Bombyx mori: one gene and its partners. The protein of the gene in region 1 purifies or fractionates together with the protein of each later gene. This does not show direct contact. Links are inferred from orthologs where the notes say so. Each region holds a gene or a part of one and is shown on either strand. Other genes may lie near its edges.

What was found.
Region 2: the proteins of protein AAR2 homolog (region 1) and protein ecdysoneless purify together in Homo sapiens (affinity purification with mass spectrometry; 3 studies listed by BioGRID and IntAct, counting the BioPlex papers as one, with this or other methods). This does not show direct contact. The link is inferred for Bombyx mori from reciprocal best matches to the Homo sapiens genes AAR2 and ECD.
Region 3: the proteins of protein AAR2 homolog (region 1) and uncharacterized protein LOC778507 purify together in Homo sapiens (affinity purification with mass spectrometry; 3 studies listed by BioGRID and IntAct, with this or other methods). This does not show direct contact. The link is inferred for Bombyx mori from reciprocal best matches to the Homo sapiens genes AAR2 and C9orf78.
Region 4: the proteins of protein AAR2 homolog (region 1) and tetratricopeptide repeat protein 27 purify together in Homo sapiens (affinity purification with mass spectrometry; 3 studies listed by BioGRID and IntAct, with this or other methods). This does not show direct contact. The link is inferred for Bombyx mori from reciprocal best matches to the Homo sapiens genes AAR2 and TTC27.

What each region holds. Positions count from the first base shown.
Region 1 is NC_085115.1:3,919,140-3,924,411, reverse strand, and holds the start of protein AAR2 homolog, read left to right. Parts: upstream 1-2,135; 5' UTR 2,136-2,238; coding exon 2,239-2,441; intron 2,442-2,714; coding exon 2,715-2,917; intron 2,918-3,339; coding exon 3,340-3,597; intron 3,598-3,943; coding exon 3,944-4,070; intron 4,071-4,319; coding exon 4,320-4,737; 3' UTR 4,738-5,272. UniProt on the Homo sapiens protein: Component of the U5 snRNP complex that is required for spliceosome assembly and for pre-mRNA splicing.
Region 2 is NC_085117.1:12,227,859-12,232,949, forward strand, and holds protein ecdysoneless, read left to right. Parts: upstream 1-1,591; 5' UTR 1,592-1,690; coding exon 1,691-1,904; intron 1,905-2,244; coding exon 2,245-2,447; intron 2,448-2,837; coding exon 2,838-4,109; 3' UTR 4,110-4,116; downstream 4,117-5,091. Other genes in the region: U6 snRNA phosphodiesterase 1, read right to left, coding at 1-78, 159-241. UniProt on the Homo sapiens protein: Regulator of p53/TP53 stability and function. Inhibits MDM2-mediated degradation of p53/TP53 possibly by cooperating in part with TXNIP. May be involved transcriptional regulation. In vitro has intrinsic transactivation activity enhanced by EP300.
Region 3 is NC_085120.1:2,479,506-2,484,846, reverse strand, and holds the start of uncharacterized protein LOC778507, read left to right. Parts: upstream 1-2,281; coding exon 2,282-2,477; intron 2,478-4,969; coding exon 4,970-5,341. Other genes in the region: malate synthase, read right to left, coding at 1-233. UniProt on the Homo sapiens protein: Plays a role in pre-mRNA splicing by promoting usage of the upstream 3'-splice site at alternative NAGNAG splice sites; these are sites featuring alternative acceptor motifs separated by only a few nucleotides. May also modulate exon inclusion events.
Region 4 is NC_085116.1:3,138,990-3,144,226, forward strand, and holds the start of tetratricopeptide repeat protein 27, read left to right. Parts: upstream 1-1,981; 5' UTR 1,982-2,596; coding exon 2,597-2,651; intron 2,652-2,729; coding exon 2,730-3,112; intron 3,113-3,754; coding exon 3,755-4,016; intron 4,017-4,656; coding exon 4,657-4,891; intron 4,892-5,237. Other genes in the region: transmembrane protein 201 homolog, read right to left, coding at 523-716, 1,135-1,252, 1,333-1,415.

The DNA of each region.
Region 1 (5,272 bases):
ACAAATAACATCTAGTAGAACATTTTTATCGTCTAACATAACTCTCCTGTATGGTATTGGTTTAATTTAAGGCTCAATATACGCGGTGCGACAGGGCGGAACAAGTTTCCGACGTCAAACAAACTCAAATTACACTGAGTCAACTAGTGTAAACCACTAATTACGAACGACAGGTAAACTGAAAGCGCTTCTGGGTCCCGTCTCGTCGACTCTGCACTTCAGACGTGAAATTCGTCACCTGTTGAAAATAATTAGGCAAAAAAAATACGCTGTGTTAACAAAAAAAAATTGGTGCGGTGCTGCAGTGCACTGCTGTGTTGCCCACTTCACGCTGAAAAATTCGAAAAATCTAGACGTAATTCGGTCGGAATTTGTTTTGGCGACCGAAAAATGGATCTTTTTTTTTATTCCATTACTTTAAAGGACGAGACTATGTACGTATGTGAAAAAATATACCTACTTGATTAAGTCAAACTATATTAGAGACGTAACAGAAATGTAATAGGTAATAACAATACATATTTTTTTTTGTCTTATAAAATTCAGTATATAATTAAACTTTTCTCGGATGTGTTCTTATCTCAAATTCTGCATAAGACAAAACAAATTTCTTATTTCTCAGTTAACTTGAACATCGTCCGATCCGAACCACACCAGACTTTTTTATAAAAAATTAAGATGATGGAATAAAAAATACCATAAGGTTTTGCATTATGGTCTTTCCTCTGAGTTTTAATCACTGAATTCCTGTAAAATATAGTGCCTTGTCATATATTATTACTACTAAAGGGATTAACTATGAATATAATTTTAAAATCTTAATTATCATAACAAGATTAAACATACCAGTATACTTATATACTATGTTCGAAAGCATTCGCATTGATTACAGGGTTCTAATTGGGTCTTCGCCTTAATCTAGATTATCTATCACCTATCGTGCTCATCCCGTTGACCTGGTTTCTTAATATTGAGGGGGGAACAGAACGGGTTGTGTTGGACTCTGTACCTGACGGCCCCTACGGGAGATGAACGGAAGCTTCGCGCCCGCGCCGCCCACTCCGCCTTCTTCGCTGAGGACCTGAAGAGAGATCCCACTCCCTTTCGCACTCCTCAGCCTCATGGAACACCAGAATCAGTTCGCAAAGCCTCGCACGAACTCTTGTCCTTTAACATAAGATCAACGACAGTCGCAAGGAGATGTCCCTCCCCAGCACCACGATTAGATCTCACCGCGTGTTCTCCCGACGCGGGCACGCTTTGAGATGCGCTTCCGTTTTAAGATTCGAGTGGTGAGGTGGGAGTCTCAGAAGTCCGTACGATCAATATATTTCATCAAATTTGAGTTTCGTCGAAGTTTTTCATATACGCTCTGCTGACTTATTCTCTGTTCTATTATGAGTAGCTCCGTTAAGCGTTACAGAAATATAAATTAATGTACCTACCCTCCTGTCTTATGTTTTAGAGAAATTACTTTATAAAAAGCGTGATTCTGTGCTCATGTAGAAAAACAAATCCTAAGATAGCAGACAGATTTAAAATAACAAATTAATTAACTTAATAATAATATGCCGAAAATTAAACATGATATATTTATAAACTTAGTTTTTCAAATGAATTGAGTTATAAAGATAGTCGTAGGTAGCCATGCTGAAAAAATAAACAAATAGAACAAGTGAAGGACACATCACTTAGTTATCTATCTATCTATCTATCTCTTAGGCTTATGGCGTTTCCTTTTAGATTTCGCCAATGTCAAGTGTATTTAATACTCTGCTTTCTATAGCGGGCTTCGTGAACGAGCAAGGTCACAGATATTCACTAAGAATTAAGTGAGTAGCTAAGAATATTTGATGACAGGATCTCTGTTGATTTACCTAAAACAAATAAGACGCACACAATATATATTATACAGGGGTTAGTTCGATAACAGACAGACACTTAGTTACTGTTAAATACAATCGTATTGGGTTATGGTGCTTTTAATGTTTAAAACATTGTTTTACATAGTTGAGAACAAAAACATTATTTCAAACCTAAGAAAATTATTAAAAAATCTATTCACTTCAGTCTGCATTGTACCTACCTTTCACGTTCAGAAACATTCAAATCGGCACGCGTCGAGATTTTGACATTGACGTTTGACACTCACGAATGTAAACACATTGATTGATTGATTGTATGTATTTTTATCATACCATTAATTCATATTTCATTGTTTCGGGAGCATAGTTGGATATGGATCAAGAAACAGCGAAAAAGCTGCTAGTGGAAGGGGGCACGTTTGTATTCTTGAGAGTCCCTTCAGAAACCCAGTTTGGCATCGATATGCAGTGCTGGAACACGGAGGAAGATTTTCGTGGCGTTAAAATGATTCCTCCAGGCTTACATTATGTTCATTACTCTGCTGTCAGTAAAGGTACTGGCGATATTGCACCTAGGTAAGTGCGTTTTATATATACTTTAAAAAAACAATCCTAGTACTATACAAGGAATTCAAGTTTGGAGGTTGTTTTTGGAATCTTATCACTTAATTTTAATATGGTAATTCGATATCAGATTTACACTCAGAATTTACATATTCGAAGCACAAAATATATGTATACAGCTTATTAAGTTTCTTCGTGTATTGTTATTGAACTTATATGAGACTGATATCAATATTATTGTTACTTGCATACCTAAATAAATTACTTTTCTTGATTAAATTCCAGATCTGGCTTCATGCATTACTTTCACAAAAAAGAATTTCTTGTGAAAATGTGGGACAAAAAAACTGAAGATTTGAGCAAGGAAGAGATCAGTGATGAGAGCATCCAACGTTTGAAAGATAATTTATTTAATTTGGACCGACATCTTGCTCCATATCCATATGAAATATGGCAGAAGTGGAAGTTACTGTCTTCACAGATCACTGGTTGGTGTCTTCAATTAAAGAAATACTTGCCCTACAAATCTTGAATGAACTTAGTCTTGTTGAAGTTGGTGGTAGTTCACATTATGAGCCTGGTCATATTGGCATAGTGGAGCATATTGAGACTGGTCACTGTCCTCGCCGAACCCGTCGCTTGTGATGAAGGGCTTAATGAGTAAAATTAACCCATAGACACAGTCTACTGAGTTTCTCACCGGATCTTCTCAGGGGGTTGCGTTTCCGATACGGTGGTAGATTCTGCGAAGCACTGCTATTGCTAGAGGCAGTGTTAGCAACACTCCTGGTTTGAGCCCCGTAAACTTAGGCTTGTATCAGAAAAAACAATTCATACAAGAAACTAAAATATTGTGTTATTCCAGAATCTTATATCAATAATCTGTACTAAGTTTAATTTCTATTGTCAGCTGAACTAGCAGCAAAATTGGCACCAGAAAGTGGAATGATAAGAGCATCAGTTGAGCTTTTATCGATGACTGATGCAGAAAGACCAAGAGGAGTCAAGTCTTCATCTAGTTCAATAAGTCAGGAGAATGAAAAATCTCCCACTAAAGAGGATTTCAGTGAAGAACAGATTGCCGGACACTCAAGTGCTAAGAGAGCTAAAAGAATCACAAGGGAAGAGAAAGAAAAGTCATTGTTACCAGATTTGAAACCAGTTCCAGGTAAATTAATGAAACAAAGATAAATGTAAATAATATTTTTCCCCTATATATCTACTAAAATAAAACTACACGCCTAATTAATTACTGATTGTAGGACCTGTGAGGCTGCATGGATAGGTTATCACCAGCCTGCATATTTCTGCCGTGAAGCAGTAATGTGTTTCGGTTTGACTATACCTTAGAACTTATATCTCAAGGTGGGTGGCGGCATTTATGTTGTATATGCCTATGTGCTCCAGTAACCACTTAACACCATGTGGGCCGTGAGCCTGTCGTCTGTCCACCCATGTAAGCAATAAAAAATATAAAAAAAAATAAAAGAATTCTAAAATGTGAATCTTTACAGGAGCTGCTATGAGATTCACAGAAATACCTCAAGATAAATATCCACCGGATGCAACACCAGAGGAGATCACGAAACATTACTTAGATCAGTCATACTCATTAGAGCTCATGATAGCACAGCATAATGAGTAAGTATCTATTTTTATTAACTGTTAGTATTTTAAGAGAAATTTGAGGGTATCTTAATATAAAATTTTGTTGACTACATACTACATTCATATGTTGATTACATATACAGTTGAATGTCTATGATGGATATTTTAAGCATTGTTCAGTGCCGAAGTTATCAGGAAGCTAAAGTCAAGTCTCGACTCTTGACATGATTAAATGCACAAAAGCCAAAATCTAGAATTCTATATACGTGTTTTATTTTTCAGACCTCTACACATCATAGGAGAACTGCAATTCGCATATTTGTGCTTTTTGATTGGGCACTCCCTAGAGGCTTTTGAGCACTGGAAGAGCCTCGTCATACTCATATGTTCGTGTGACGAGGCCATACACAAATACAGAAGTGTTTTCTTTCACTTCATTAGGACTATTGAGGTGCAAATCGAAGAGATGCCCGAAGATTTCTTAGCCGATATAGTGATGAATAAAAATTTAGTATACAAGAAACTCCGTGAGTTTTTCCGCACGGCTTACGTAAGCAAAGTCGACGGCAGACTTTTGACGATGATTGAACGCTTCAAAGATAACCTGACCGACAAATTGCAATGGGATTTCACTGGTCTAGACGCTGACGATGAAGACGAGAGGCCGGTCGTAGTGAAACTCGACGATGGAACTCAATAGATTATATTTAATGGCTCCTCTTCACAATCGGCCATGATAGGCCAACAAACAATCGTCCATCATCGCCGCCATGATGGGGCAACTCTCCACACAATCGTGAACGTTTATTTACTGACTGTCTACTGATATGTTAAGACGTCTAGGTATCGATGATGGAAATCGAGGAGATCGCGGCTGCGGCAATATTTTTAGTTCTATATAGTCTATATAGTCATTTAGTTAATGTGCGCGAAAAAAGAATCGTGAAAACTTTTTTTTCTTAAATCCCTCTTGTAGACAGACGGAGTCGCCCATGGACTTCAGCAATGCAAGATGAAAGAAGATAAGGTGGTGGGTGGTGGTTATCAATCGGACCAAAACAAGGTCCACGCAACCATAGTTTTAAAGTGGACACAATTGACACACATTCGAGACAACTACATCCTGACTAATCGGCGATGGTGTGGACGCTCACACAATCATGGGCCATCATTCTTTTGATCTACCGCCACAACGCCGATTGCGCACGATCATACGCGATGATGGCCGATCACAC
Region 2 (5,091 bases), on another chromosome or scaffold:
TTTTGATGATCGTCTATGTGTGTTTCTTCAGTTAAAACTATTCGCACACGACTGAGATCTGGAACTGGTAATTTCACTCTGAAACAAATAAAGTTTATTATCAGGAATATGTTGATAAAAAATAATCAAAAATCAAATAATAATGCAGGTAGTATGACCTTTTGTACAGATGTTGTTCAGTTTCACTGTCACTATTCGTTGAATCAGATCCGTAATCGTTGATATACGACAGACAAGACATGAGTTTAATTGACAAACAGCCGTGAAGATCAAATAGTATTTAAGCACAAGCGACGAAAGACGACAGAAATCATAATCCTAAATATCAAGTGTAATAAACTAGGGACAAAACTAAAAGTATGCAATAAAAACATGGAAGTGACACTCAATGTATAATCTATGCATGGATTTTATGACCTGGTAAGTAAGACTTTTAGGTCATGTCATGTTTGATTTATATTCTTATTTTTATGAAAAACTAGCGACCTGCCCTCGCTTCGCTTCGGAAACTGTAATTTATTATTGTTTTCTCCACTATTTAATGGATGTTATTATACATATAAACCTTCTTCTTCAATCACTCTATTAATTAAAAAAACCGCATCAAAATCCGTTACAAATAAATAGTTTTAAAGATTTAAGCATACATGGGGATATAGGGATAAAGAAAGCGACTTTGTTATAAACTATGTAGTGATGATAATATGGAGTGAAATGAAATGAATGAATTTACTGGTGGTAGGACGTCTTGGGAGTCCGCGCGGGTAGGTACCACCGCCTTACATATTTCTGCCGTGAAGCAGTAATGCGTTTCGGTCTGAAGGGTAGGGCAGCCGTTGTAACTGTAGTGAGATATTAGAACTTATATCTCGAGGTGGGTGGCGCATTTACGTTGTAGATATCTATGGGCTCCAAAAACCACTTAACACCAGGTGGGCTGTGAGCTCGTCCACCCATCTAAGCAATAAAAAAAAAGAAGATTAATTTGAGACATTAATCAACTGGGATGAAATAAAATGAGATGAGATGATATGGGATGAACTATAATCTCAGTAAAATGGTGGTCATTTACAGAGTTTTTTTTAGTATGCTAGTGGACTTTTTGGCTGGAACGCGAGGAGTGAAGTTGTATGATTTGTTTTATTTTGTCTATTTAGTGTTTCTTCGGGTTTAAATGTGTAATAATGGTGATTTATTAACTGTTTAGTATCTGTGAAAGTGCACAAATGTGGGAAAATGACATAAAGCCGCTGAACGTAACTTCTCGGGATCCTCCAAAAAGTTCCATCACTGAAAAAGCCTTAGTAAATGACCACCATTTTACTGAGATTATTTTTCATACCATATCACCTCATCTCATTTCATTTAATTTCACTCCATATTATCATTTTTTCATAAAATAAGAATATAAGCGGTAGGCAGCGGCTTGGCTCTGCCCCTGGCATTACTGAAGTCCATGGGCGACGGTAACCACTCACCATCAGGTGGGCCGTATGCTCGCTGCCTACAAGGGCAATAAAAAAATTATAATATATATATATATAAATTAAAATTAGACATGACCTAAAGATTATAGTTACCAGGTCATAAAATCCCTAAAAAAAATAGCATGCTAGGCCGAATAACCATAGACCTTTAAAAGTTTCATATTCAGTGTAATTAACATTGAAATTTATATTTGATTGAAGAAATGTCTTTCAATAAAAATGCAGTTTTTTCTGAACCATTACACGAAGATACCGTATATTGCACGTTTTATTCTTTATCATTGCTTGAAAGATCACAATGGGTGTCATTGTGTGACCAAATCAATGAAACAATCTTAACTTTGTCAAAAGATTACATCTGGCATAGAGATGTTTTCAAAGTCTTTCTACCAGTTTATGAGAATAAAAATCTACACAGTGAGTACAAGTAGTAGTACATACAAAATATCAGAAGAAAATTTTATACACCATTTTAAAAATAAGTTAATCCTATCCTGTTTGTAGAGAATAAAAAAACAAAACCTATAAACCATTATTTTTGCAGAGAGCGACTGAAAAAATAAAATATTATATTAATTGAGAAATTTCCTATAAGCCAAAGAAACAAAGAGACAAACAAACTGATCATAATTGATTAGACACTTGTTTTATACACATTAACTTGAAAAAGCCTTTGTTGAAATTTAAGACGTTTTTTATAATTTTAGAAATGTTATTAATCAATTAAATGTTATTTTATTTTATCTTTTTTTTTCAGACTATCCTATGCATTTAATTAATGTAACATGTTTTGGTGACAATATTGAAGATGAATGGTTCATAGTTTACCTTGTAAAAAATATAACAAAGCTATACACTAACATAGTTGTACAAATTAAAGACAGTGATGGTGAATTTTTATTAATAGAAGCTGCAAATTATTTGCCTTCATGGGCAAATTCAAATACTACAGAAAATAGAGTAAGTGTTGTGTGATATGAGGGTAGGACAGCTATTATACAATAAGAGATTTTTGGCAGTCTCAAGGCATTAGCTATCACTTAGAATTCTTTCTGATCTCCATTCCAATTTATACCAGTGTATCCAGTTTATACATAATAGATTGAGTTTTGCCTGTTTAGAGTAATCTACATTAATTGACATTCATGAACTTATGGAATAGATATGAAATCATTAGCTTTAATTTAAAATATAAATAATATAAAAATACATTTGTCAAAATGATTTTCATACTGAATTTTAATTCAATTTCAGATAAAGTAAGTTTTTAAATCATACAACATACATTCATAAAATCACTAATGCTTGAAAATAAAATATTTGTACTTAATATACACATCATTTTTCCAGGTGTTCATTTACAACAACAATTTACATATAATACCTCCACATGTGGCAAGTATAGATGAGAAGTTAGAAATATCAGAAGCATTAAAATACTTGGAAATCAATAAAGACACTAAGTCAACACATGAAATTGAAAATGCTATATCGTTAAGAATTGAGAAGTTTTCTAAACATTTAAGTGATTATTTCCATACATCAGTTGTTAGACTTCCAATAGAGGTAGCTACTTTAGTGAAACTTGAACCTCAATACATTGCTAACTTTATTAATGCCTATTGTAATCATGAAGAATCTAAGTCCTGTCCTGTGATTAATTATGAACATTTAGTGGATGTTCCAGTGAAGTTTACTAAATTCTTGTATGCAATATTGATGCAGTCAAAACCTATTAAACATTTTAGTAAAAGAAAATCCACAAATGATAAGAGCACTTTACTTGGTTTGAAAATTTCCTATGGTTATCAAATTATAACCAACTCATCAAATGAGGTTTTTTTAACCAATGCATATAATAAATTTATTGCTACTTTAAGGAACAATGGTTATTTTAAAGGTAATTTAGAGGGTTCTAGGGATTATCAACAGCTTTTAGAAAAAGCTAAGGATTATTTCTTAAATACTGAATGCTCAGTAAGTTCTAATGCATCTTACAATATTGCAAAAACACTAAGTTCAGAAAATTTCACTCAAGAAATGGAAAATATAAAAAATAATAGTACAAATTTGGATTTCTCAGATGATAACGATGACTGGATGACCATTCATCCTGATGAGTTAAATAATACATTAAATTCACGCTATGGCCAAAAATCTAAATTTACAGTAAAAAGTGAAATTACTCCAGAGTCGATAACAAAGGACCTTAATAATTTTCTAAATAATACTTCAAACTTTGAGGGGATTGAATCAGAATATACTGATAATAATACTATTGAATTTGAGGCAGATGAATTTCAATCTTGCATTGAGAAGTTTTTGGGATTATTGACTATGAATCAAAATGATGTGCAAGAAGAGTCAGATTTATTAGATGATGAAGATTGTATTTCCGAAAATGGAGATATTACGGAAGAATTAGAAGAAGAAATGAAATCTAAACTGGGAAATGATGATATAGACTCATTACACAATCAGAAAAATATTTTACAAAATTTCTTGCAAAGTATTAAAGAAGAAAAAGCTGCATCTGGTCCTTCCAGTAATCTACTACAGTCAATAGGCCTTAGAAAAACAGAATTATTAGACTCAGATGATGATGATGATAATAAAACATAATAACTTAGTGATTTGTTTTATTGGCCTTCATGGGTTGAATAATTCAAGGCTTGTCAGTGTTTAGTGGATATTGGAGTCTATAGACAACCATGTTGTCTTAATGCATTAGCACCCAGCTGGGGCGAGTCTTCAAAGGTGATGGTCGATTTATGAGAGTTCAACAGAAGGCCGCACGACAGGGAGCTTTAGCATGTCATGTCCGGAACGAAAAATGAAAGATAGTCAAATAAGTGGGTCCTTAAACACTACCTTCTATCTGCAGCGACTGTCGCGTTGACTGGGAAATAATTTGCGTGCCTCCTCAGCACGAGGAGGCTATCAAGTAGGAAATTCGACCTCGGCCCAAAAAAAGAGAATGTTAAATTTTAAAAACAAAAAATCTTAGTAGGTATCTATCTACAGTGTCTACATAAATATTTTTATAAAGGCTTGATGTGAAAGATATAAAACTAACTAAATTCAAAGATTAAATGGCTTTCGCCGAAGCACCAAACGTCGGAATGTTAAGAAATCTTAGAATAGAAATTTTTTTTTTTATCAAATTACATTATGGACCTTAACACCCTATAAGTTAAAGAAAATATAGGATTGCAGTGATCGCCTTGTACAAAGTAGTAGTAGTGGTAGTTTTAAAAGTAGTAGTAGTAGTATAGAGCCGTCGGTCATATTCCAGACACTTCAAAAGCGTGGTCTCAGCTGTATGTTCGTATATTGGACTATCACAGATACAACAAAACTTCGTCTGTCGAAGACCAGAAAAGATCGGGGTGGCAGCGTGCTGTTGGAACTACAAAGGCTGTTAATGCTGTTAAGCCAGAGTTCGTCGAAACCCCATTAGGAAGCAAAAAATCTAATAATGTGGTAAAAAAAATATATATCATAAATTAGTATCATAATAAAAAAATTAAAAATAATAAAAATCTAATAATATCTAATCTAATAAGATTTTTTGCTCGCAATAGCGAAAAATGAAGGTTCCCGC
Region 3 (5,341 bases), on another chromosome or scaffold:
GCTATTTTCCAGCTTTTGTCTCTTCGTTCGGGAGAATTTTTGAAATCAATAAAAGGATCATTTTTTATTTCCACAGCTCGTCGTTTTCTATTCTCATACAACAATTCTATTTTTTTGTCAAAATTACGATGTAGGGCTGCAATAAATTCGAGGACTTCACTAGAAAAAATCGTCTTCTGTAATTCTTCGAGTTTTGGAAGCGGTACTTGAAGTAAAATAACATCGTGCACCATAATGTAGTTATTCTTTTCTTATTTAATAGGTAATCTGCACAGCAAGAAACGCGACACAGCTGCACTTGATTGAAAGTTGTATTGAAATATTCAAATCGGAATTTCGTTCGTGTTCGAAGAAAATAATATCTGTATGATTTTCGTGTTATTGTTTCTTATCACTATATAGTTGATTGATAAAAGAATGATAAGATATAATGTTTGCCTATGTTGGGTGTTTTCAGTTGCCAGCTTAAAAATAAATCAAATTTACTAGGGAAAAATCAAAGTTTTAATGGTAAACATAAAATGATATTTTGTAAAGTTTGAATACAACTATGACTATAAATAGACCTGAAAACCAACCATAATCATCATTGGAACAAACAACTGATTCGAAGTAGAAATCGCTGCTCGCGTAGTAGAAATCGCGAAAGGCTGTTCGGGTATGTAGGATCGGACGATCCGCAGACGATGGTGGTGGCACGGCGGCCCAAGAATGGCATTTGAGACCCTACCCACTAAACAACTCCCCCGCACTTGCTCAGGCGTCCGTAGCCCCCGAGGTCAAAACCCGGGCGGGGTAAGGAAGTACCGTATTAAAAACCCCAAGGACACCCGGAGGCTTACGTACTTGCGGCCTCGTAACTTGCGACAACAGCAACCGTCTCCATTCGGTGAAGATTACGGGTTGGCCGGCAACCCGCCGAGTACAAAGAGCAGCACGGCTGATCACGGCCCGATACTCTAACGAGCAATCTCGAAGCCACGCTGGCAAACCGGTACCTCCCTTTGGAGGGCGTTACTATGTAGTTGAAGTCGGGAACATAACAACTAGCGACAGGAAGATGCAAAAGTAGCACCGGCTCACTACTAACACAAGTAACACAGAGTACCACTGCACACGGTACGCCGGCAAACCATCGGTGCCATCGGGAGGCTCACTCTCTAAGTGGAGCACTCTTCATCAAATGAAGAGCATTGAGAGCACGGCCCTCCTACTCGACTTCGTGCTGGTTTTGGTCCGCATCGGTGCGATCATATCTCTGGGAATGATGACCAAAAGCTGCCATTATCCGCCTCTCACGGAGGCGCACGGTTGGAGACCAGCAACTCCCTTGGGTTTCATTACATCCTACGTATATTACTGTTGATTGGTCTTTAAAGTAGTTTATGGCGTACCTTGTATTGAGTGATATCAAAGCTAATAGAGATCAGAGTGAGAAAGCTATGAGATATACCTTGAGACATGAGGTAGAAATCTAAATTATGTTGTATAATGGTCATCTTACTCTTCAAACTGGAACGCATGACAGCTTGGCAGTGGATGAAATAACTACCTAATGTGAGCCCTCATAGGCACTATCTCAGTATTTAGGTCGCCAAGTAGTTCTACGTTCTGGTTTGTTAAATGAACGAATTGTTATATTCTACAATTAGCGGTAGGTGACCTCTCGTTGTAGATGTGTACTAGCTCTGGTAATCACTTTATTGAAGTTGGGCCTTGAGCTCGTTCAGACGTCTATGCAATAAATAAATGTAATTTTTCCTTTCATATAATGAATGTATCTAAGTAAATTTTTGTAATTTTACTGAGACTACAGTATATTTTAAAGCATCTTATTTAATTTAATTTCATCATAATTACAGTATAAAATAAATAAATTTCATCTCATTCTTCTCCAAATCATTATTCTCAAAGAGTAAAATTTATTTTAAGTATATTTTATCTAGAGATTTTTATTAACTCAACACTGGCAACAATGACATTGCAAGCAGTCATTCTTTAAAAAAGGGAAATAAGTTATCTATGGTAAAAAGATCAAACATAAATAATGAATATGGCAGATTCAGATTCTCAAGAAAATCGACAAGTCGAAGAAATTAAATTGAAATCTAAGAAGCCTAGAAATCTTCGTACGCGTATCAAAGATGAAGACTCTGATGATGAGGAGCACATTTTGCAAAGACTTCAAGAAACAAAAGAAATTCAGAAACTTCGAGAAAGACCTAATGGGGTGAGCATCATAGCCCTGGCAACCGGCGAGAAAGTAACGTTGGAAGATGAAATGACTTGTAAAGATCCTTTTAAAGTTAAAACTGGCGGGATGATTAACATGCAAGCCCTTAAGAACGGGAAACTGAAGCAGGTGGATGATGCGTATGATACCGGAATAGGCACACAATTTTCAGCGGAAACGAACAAACGCGACGAAGATGAGGAGATGATGAAGTACATCGAAGAACAACTTGCAAAAAGAAAAGGTTAGTTCTACTTGAAAATATTTAACGAGCTTCCAAACATAAAAATTTACATTTTGCTTAAACAGTGGACCCCCGGTAATCCTGCCGCTGTCTAATCTGGCACCCCTTGTAATCCGAAATGTCTATTATTATTGAATATTTTTTGACAGTCTTCGCTAATGTACTTAGATAATGCATGATTGAACAGGTTACAACTGGTATGCGCCATCACTATTGTACTAGACGCTTAGGTATTGTTTTGGTTTTGATAGGTTAGTTTGAATTCGACTACTGATAACAAATAGGCATGCGCCCATTTCAGGCTCCATCTTGACCATGAAAGCTTAAGTTTTTTAAAGTACTTAAATAAAATAAAAGATGCTTATGGCCAGCAAGGGGTGGCTAGAAAGTTTCAAAAGTCGTCATGGCATTCGTAAAGTATTTTTTGTAAGTTTTAAAGTATTACTGACGTTAATTTTATAATAAAACGTAAGGTTTCTCTTGTATTTTTTAATTTACTAAATTCAATATACATAATGAAGTATGATTTGCATTTCAGAATATAACATACAGAATCTTATTACTGGATCTGTAATTTATTGGATTATAAAGTACTCTTTTGTAAAAAAATCTGGACTAAAGGGGGTCTTAGGCAGTACTTGTATAATTCGACAAATGTAATAGGTAGTTTGACACTGCCTTACAAAACGTTTGTCGGATTACAGGGGGTCCACTGTAATTTAATGGTTTTTTATTTCAAGACTGAAATTTAAAATCAATCAATAAAATAGTATTTGCATTTTCCATATCACATCCTTGAGGTTCTGTCACATCATAATCAATTACTAATTTTATAGATCCATTACAAGATCATTAAATAAACAGTATCTACATGTTTTCCTAGAACTCATGTAAATTTGTTTTTTTTTTGTAGGTAGTGGTTGTGACCAGTGTCTAGATGGGATTATATGTATATTTTGATATTACTAATATTACTAACACCTAAGCATATATTACATTAAGCTGCATAAGCACTTATTTGCTAAACTATTCTCATGGTATTATGATAACAACACTCCCAAAAGTACCAATAACAACTATACCAAGTTTCATTGCATCTTGAATGGTTTATATAGGAAGAAGAAAAAAAAAAGAAGAAAAAAACAGACTTAATAAACTTGTTAATATTGCTGCTTAAATGAAAATCTAGTATCAATTATGTAAAATACCACTCACTAAGATTCTATATTTGGTCCGAATCTGTAAAAAATATTGTATTGTAAATACTGTAGTAAGTATATTATACACTCAATTGAATTGCACATACCCTACAGAGACACCCACATCCCAACTTAAACAACGTTTAGACATACATGCCTCTTAGAAATATCATGTATGCTTAAATGAAAATTATTGTTTTTACAGGTTGTATGATATTAAGATAGTATAAGTTAGTTGTTTTGTATCTTTGGGTGCAATATTTGGAGCAGGTTTTATGCATAAGTGTGAAGAGGGCTAACCTCTGTGATACTGTTTTTATTGACTGCAGATATTAATAATTTCTTTTGAAGTCGTCGTGGCCTAAAGGATAAGACGTCCGGTGCATTCGTGTGTAGCGATGCACCGGTGTTCGAATCCCGCAGGCGGGTACCAATTTTTCTAATGAAATACGTACTCAAGAAATGTTCACGATTGACTTCCACGGTGAAGGAATAACATCGTGTAATAAAAATCAAACCCGCAAAATTATAATTTGCGTAATCACTGGTGGTAGGACCTCTTGGGAGTCCGCACGGGTAGGTACCACCACCCCGCCTATTTCCGCCGTGAAGCAGTAATGCGTTTCGGTTCGAAGGGTGGGGTAGCCGTTGTAACTATACTGAGACCTTAGAACTTATATCTCATGGTGGGTGGCGCATTTACGTTGTAGATGTCTATGGGCTCCAGTAACCACTTAACACCAGGTGGGCTGTGAGCTCGTCCACCCATAAAAGCAATAAAAAAAAAAAAAAAAAAGCTTATTGATACTTTATATTTATATCACATCAAAATAATTAGTTGGAAGCATACCCATGAAAAAAAATGTGTGTTACATGCACATAACTTGGGTTACTCAGTAAATAAATGCACAAAGATATGTTGATTGGAAACTTGAAATGGTAAATAGATTGTATAGTTTGTTATTGGTGGTAGGACCTCTTGTGAGTCCGCGCAGGTAGGTACCACCACTCTGCCTATTTCTGCCGTGAAGCAGTAATGCGTTTCGGTTTGAAGGGTGAGGCAGCTGTTGTAACTATACTTGAGACCTTAGAACTTATATCTCAAGTTGGGTGGCGCATTTATGTTGTGGATGTCTATGGGCTCCAGTAACCACTTAACACCAGGTGGGCTGTGAGCATGTCCACCCATCGAAGCAATAAAAAATAAAAATTTAGGTCCCTACATAGCTGATAGTATTATTTATAATCGTTTAGATACTAATATAAAATTAACTTGTGCTTTGTAAATTCCAGAGGGATGTGACAAAGACAATAAAGACCACAACCATACAGAAACACTAAAGTATTTGTCTCCCGAGGAAGCAGCCTTACTTTCCTTGCCAGACCATTTGAGAGTCTCTTCAAATCAGAGGTCAGAAGAAATGCTTTCTAATCAGATGCTCAGTGGTATACCAGAAGTAGATTTAGGCATTGACGCGAAAATAAAAAACATTGAGGCAACTGAAGAGGCCAAGATGAAATTAATATGGGAAAGACAAAACAAAAAAGATGGCCCATCTCAATTTGTTCCAACAAATATGGCCGTTAACTTCGTTCAGCATAACAGATTTAACATGGAGAATGATAAAAAACGAAAAATTGAAAAAGTTGTAGTGCCCAAAACAG
Region 4 (5,237 bases), on another chromosome or scaffold:
GGGCCAAGAGATAAAGTTGAGATTAACAACCTAGATTCTGTAAGTCAGTTTATTTAAATTTAGTTCATTGTCTTAATCTAATATTTCTTTTAGTGATTATTGTATAACACAAATTAAACTTGAGAAGACAATACTTATTCATCACAATGTTTTATTTTATAATTAGGTAATTTTTATTCAAATACAAATTAATTAGTCAAAATCATTAATGGAAGAAAATGGATCTAGTATTTTTTTATTTATTGCCTAGATGGGTAGACTAGCTCACAGCCCACCTGATGTTAAGTGGTTACTGGAGCCCATAGACATCCACAACGTAAATGCGCCACCCACCTTGAGATATAAGTTCTAAAGTCTCAAGTTTAGTTACAACGGCTGCCCCACCCTTCAAACCGAAACGCATTACTGCTTCACGGCAGAAATAGGCAGGGTGGTGGTACCCACCCGCGTGGACTCACAAGAGGTCCTACCACCAGTAATGAAGTAGTGTAAGTTAAATGTGACTGTCACTATGTTCCTAACCTGTAATTCTCAATTTCTTCATCATATTTCTTCTCATTCATTGGTACAAAATTGGCAAGTTGTGTCACCTTTAACTGCTGGTTTATGTTACACATTTTGCACAAGCCATTGTTAGGTAGTGTCCTTTGAAATACCTTTGGGGTTTTTGGAGTTTCTTCAACATTATTGACTATAGGCTTATTGTAATCCCCATCCTGAAATTTAATATTTTATAGCTCGTGAGGTCACCTTGCACAAATGCTAAGTCAATTACATTAGCTTGGTAACAGTGAAGAGTGATATCATGAAAACTACATTTACAATTTAATCTAACATTTTTCACTATAATTATATTAAGATCAGTGGTAGTTTTAGAGGCCAAGACTCAATAGGGCCTATGAACAGTTATCGCCTTTTTTATATTGTATGTATCTTTTTAAAGACGATATTTTAGAACTAAAAATATTATTTGGAAAATAGCCAAATTTCATAAAAATACTTTACAGGTTTAAGATTTAAGTCACAATAAATTTTTAAAAGAAAATAAGGCGATAATTCAATAGCGATATTTTTGTTTCGATATATCAGAAACTTTTTACTATTACTATAACTGAGTAGGTAAATTAACCATACCTCAGTGAAGCCGTTATATTGTTCACACTTTGGACAAGTCCAGCTGTTGCGTTCTATAAATTTTACCCAGAAATTTGAGTTGCAGAACCAGCAATTAACACGCCACGACAATAACAACCTGTAAATGCAAAATATTAATTTTAGAATAATGTAAAGATATCGGCGGGAAAGCTTTTTATATCGCTGTCTTATTCTTACCGCAAATTATATATCAATTTAAATATTAAGGTTATGCACATAGCAGATGTTATAAAGATTAGTATTGATTCCATTTCATGCATATTTTAATATATACGACACTTGTTTCATTAACTAAAAAATCATGTTGCTTATCCTAACCTAAAATGACATTGTCAGCCATTTTCCTTTTGATTAAATTCGCTTTTTTTAAGGGATTTTATGACCTGGTAACTAAGACCTTTAAGTCAAGGATTAAATTCACTTTTTCTTTCAAAGATTTCGATGGCCATTAGAGTATCATCTTTTTAGCCTATGTTGATTGTTTTAATTTTAAAATTATTTTCAACATTGTTATAATTTATAGTAGTAATTTACAGGTTTTAATGTAATCGAAAAACAGCTTCACAGACTACAAATTTATGCTTACATATGCGTGCGGTTTTATTATATACATTTTTGTTTTTTTAATATTATTTCACTGGTTTGCAGTAGCGAATATCATGTTGTTGATTAAAACAGGAATTTATTTATCAAGCATGTACCACGCAATTTTCAAGCATGCAAACTGGCTCAGCATAAACCTATGTGACATCCTCATTCCACTTAGACCATAGCTTGAAAGAAAAGCTGAATCTTTGACATTTCGGTTCACATCCTGGGTGTGAACACCTTTCATTTATCACTCGCCTTAGATCAGCACGAGGGCGGTAGTATTTAACGTATATTAGGTTTCGTTGGCCAAAATATGTAACCCGGCCAGCTTGTGCTTTTCACTTACGATTATATATAAAGCATGTTTTTATTAAATTATATGATTGACAGAAGACAATGGAATGGTGTTTTTGACAAATACCTGAATAGTGATTTCTTGTGAATTATTATATAATAATATTATAAAACTTTTAGTATTCGAAATTCCACAAGTGTGAAGAAATTTTATGAAATATCTGAACATATAGTTATAAAATAACTTCCCAGATTCACCTACAAAGCCAATTACAGGAATAATACCATTATTTATTGAGGAGATTAATGATTACGTCTGTAAAACAAGTTGGCTAAAAGTCGAGGTGGTCGCGAACAAATCGCAAAAAACATTTAAGAATTGTAAATGAATGTTATCTATGCTTGTAATTTGAGGTTATAAAACACAAATTTGAAGATTTATGAAACATCCTTGTAAACAAAAAAACTCGAGATAGAGTAATTTTTAACTTGTAACTTCGTGATCAGTTCTTTAGATAATTTAAAGATATTCTTTTATTCAATTGACTTCCTAAAAATGTCACATGAACTATTATATCTCTGCAACTTTGATGATAATCCTGATACAATCAGTGAGGAAATGTTTGTTAATAACATTTAATTTATTTATTTTTATATTTGAATTATAAACATTTATATACATGTTGCAGTTGATGATAAAATCAAGAAGCTATGGTGTAATGAATGGTGTATAGAAGATGTAAACTTATGTAAAGAGTTATTTACCAGAAGGTTAGAAACAGATGAACTAAAAACTCTTCTAAAAACACAAAGTGATTATGAAAATTATTCAAGTAATATGCTGGAAATGGCTATAATTTCTCTACTAAGATATTGTGACTACAACTGGAATCCGCATCCCGAAAATTTTGATATAAATGAATTTTTTAAGAATAAATGGCCAAGTGATATTAATATTAATGAAAAAATGCAAAGAGATTCAGAACCGTTGCAAACAAATATCAGGCATGCAGAGTTATTGTATTTTTCAGATCAAATATTTAGTACTCTATCAGGTATTGAGCCAACTTATGTAAGTATACCCTTGCCGATATAACACCTAATATATTATTGAATTTTTAACTAATGTTTTACTGTCATTGTCATACGTTATAATGATAACAAACACCAAAAATAATACACATAGTTTTCAAATAGTATAGTATTATATCAGTAAAAGTATCACTTAGCAAGTTGAATGCCACATAAAAAATTGAGTATTTTCATTCAGGCCGTGGTGCTTACCAGTGAGCCTTTTCTTACTGAGATGTTCAGGCCATAAGTGTCACCTGTGAGCCATGTGAGCCTTTCAACAAAAATTCATTCATTTTCAAATCCAATCAAAAGTTGTAGGTTTTATCATGATTTATAACTTTTCGAAGTATCTTATAAACTAGACGGTAAAAGTTGCTAATTTTTAACTTCTGTGGATTTTATAAATTTTAGAAAGAAAATCTCTAGTTGATAAAACTGTTTCTCTGATTTTGGTTTGACTCGAATGGTATAGTATGCTAGGCCCAATGGTGGGCTGCATGTTGTTCAACATGTTAAACGCAGTTACATATATATGCTATATTACATATATAGCAGCAAATTTATGCTATTAGAATTTCTTATACAACAGACCTGATAATATGAAACTTAAACACAATTAATTTTAATTAAATATCCACAGTTAAATCTATGGTGGAACTTCCGAAGTAAAGTAGCTCACCAAAGAGCATTAGAAGATACAAGTGCTACACTGTTTGCTGAACTTGAACTCATAATAGCTAAGCTTTCAAATAAAATGCAACAATTGCAAGATAAACCTCGAATTAAGTTATTATTATGTTTAGAAATAGCACAAGCATACCTCATCTATGGAAGGATTCAAAAAGTAGAGGAGTATTTACTTAAAGCAAGAGAGATTGCTGGGTTGAAGCTAGAATTGACGGGTATACATATACATTTTTTTTTTTATTTCAATATAATTGCATAACTAATTATTGTTAATTATTTTTTTACACATTATTATTCTTTAATATGGAAGTCATCATTGAACATGTATTATTTCAGTAGAGAAATTAATACTTGCCTGCAGGACTAAAACAGTAATGTAGTCCCATTGCACAGTGCAAGTACACCAAGCATCTTATTTTTTTGGCCATGATCACTTCATTTGTCTTAACAATTAGTAGAGATCTACTCTGGCTGTCTGGCCTGATTGATGTTAGATAAGAATTAAGTTCCAATAGTATTAGAATACCTCTAATTATAACAGATGTTTTTAATACCACAAGCATTAATTGTAATAATAAATAATACCCGTTGTGGGAATAAAAGGCTAACTACCGGCACTCAGTCACCCAATAATAGAGGTAAAAGATATGCAACAATACAGGTTGACACACAACAATCAAGGATGGACAACATAACATGTCATTCAGCTGCATAGAGCATACTTATCCCCTGATCAATAATTATCTAATAAAAGCACAGGCCTTCCTTTATTGTGATGGCCTATATTAGCCTATCTACGCAATGTGCATTGATTATCACACTGTCAACTAATCGGATTGTTCATATCTAATTTAGGGATACTCGGCAAAAGAACAAAATATCAACAGAATGCATTACCTCAATTGGCATTAACTAGTGATCTGGATTCTACTGTTGAACGTCCCTCAGCTGAAGAGAGTCATGGTACTGCAGACTTACCAACTGATATTGAACTCCAAGATGATGTCAGACTTGATAAGATTCAATACTTGGAGAAGATCACACAAACTCAGTTGCCTAGTTTGGAGCAAACATTGTGTTTGCTGACTGTGTTAGTAATTTGCATACATATTTATTTATATCCATACACATATAAGATAATACAGGAATTATAAAGACTATAATATTAAATGTTGAAATAGTAGATTTTTAAATTCGATGAACTTAAACAGCACCCAAGACTACCTCATAACAGAATAAGGACGCTGGGTAGTGTAAATGTAGATGCAAAAAATGTCTGTGTCCTATTTTACTGTACAATGTTGTTGCATTGATTATGATTTATGTACTGCTGCTATTAATGCTGTTATACTATTGATACTTCCTTTCTTTTGTTTTGGGGCAAGCAGCATTATTTTCCACCTTAATCAAGTGACATAAGTCAATCTTTAGCTTAG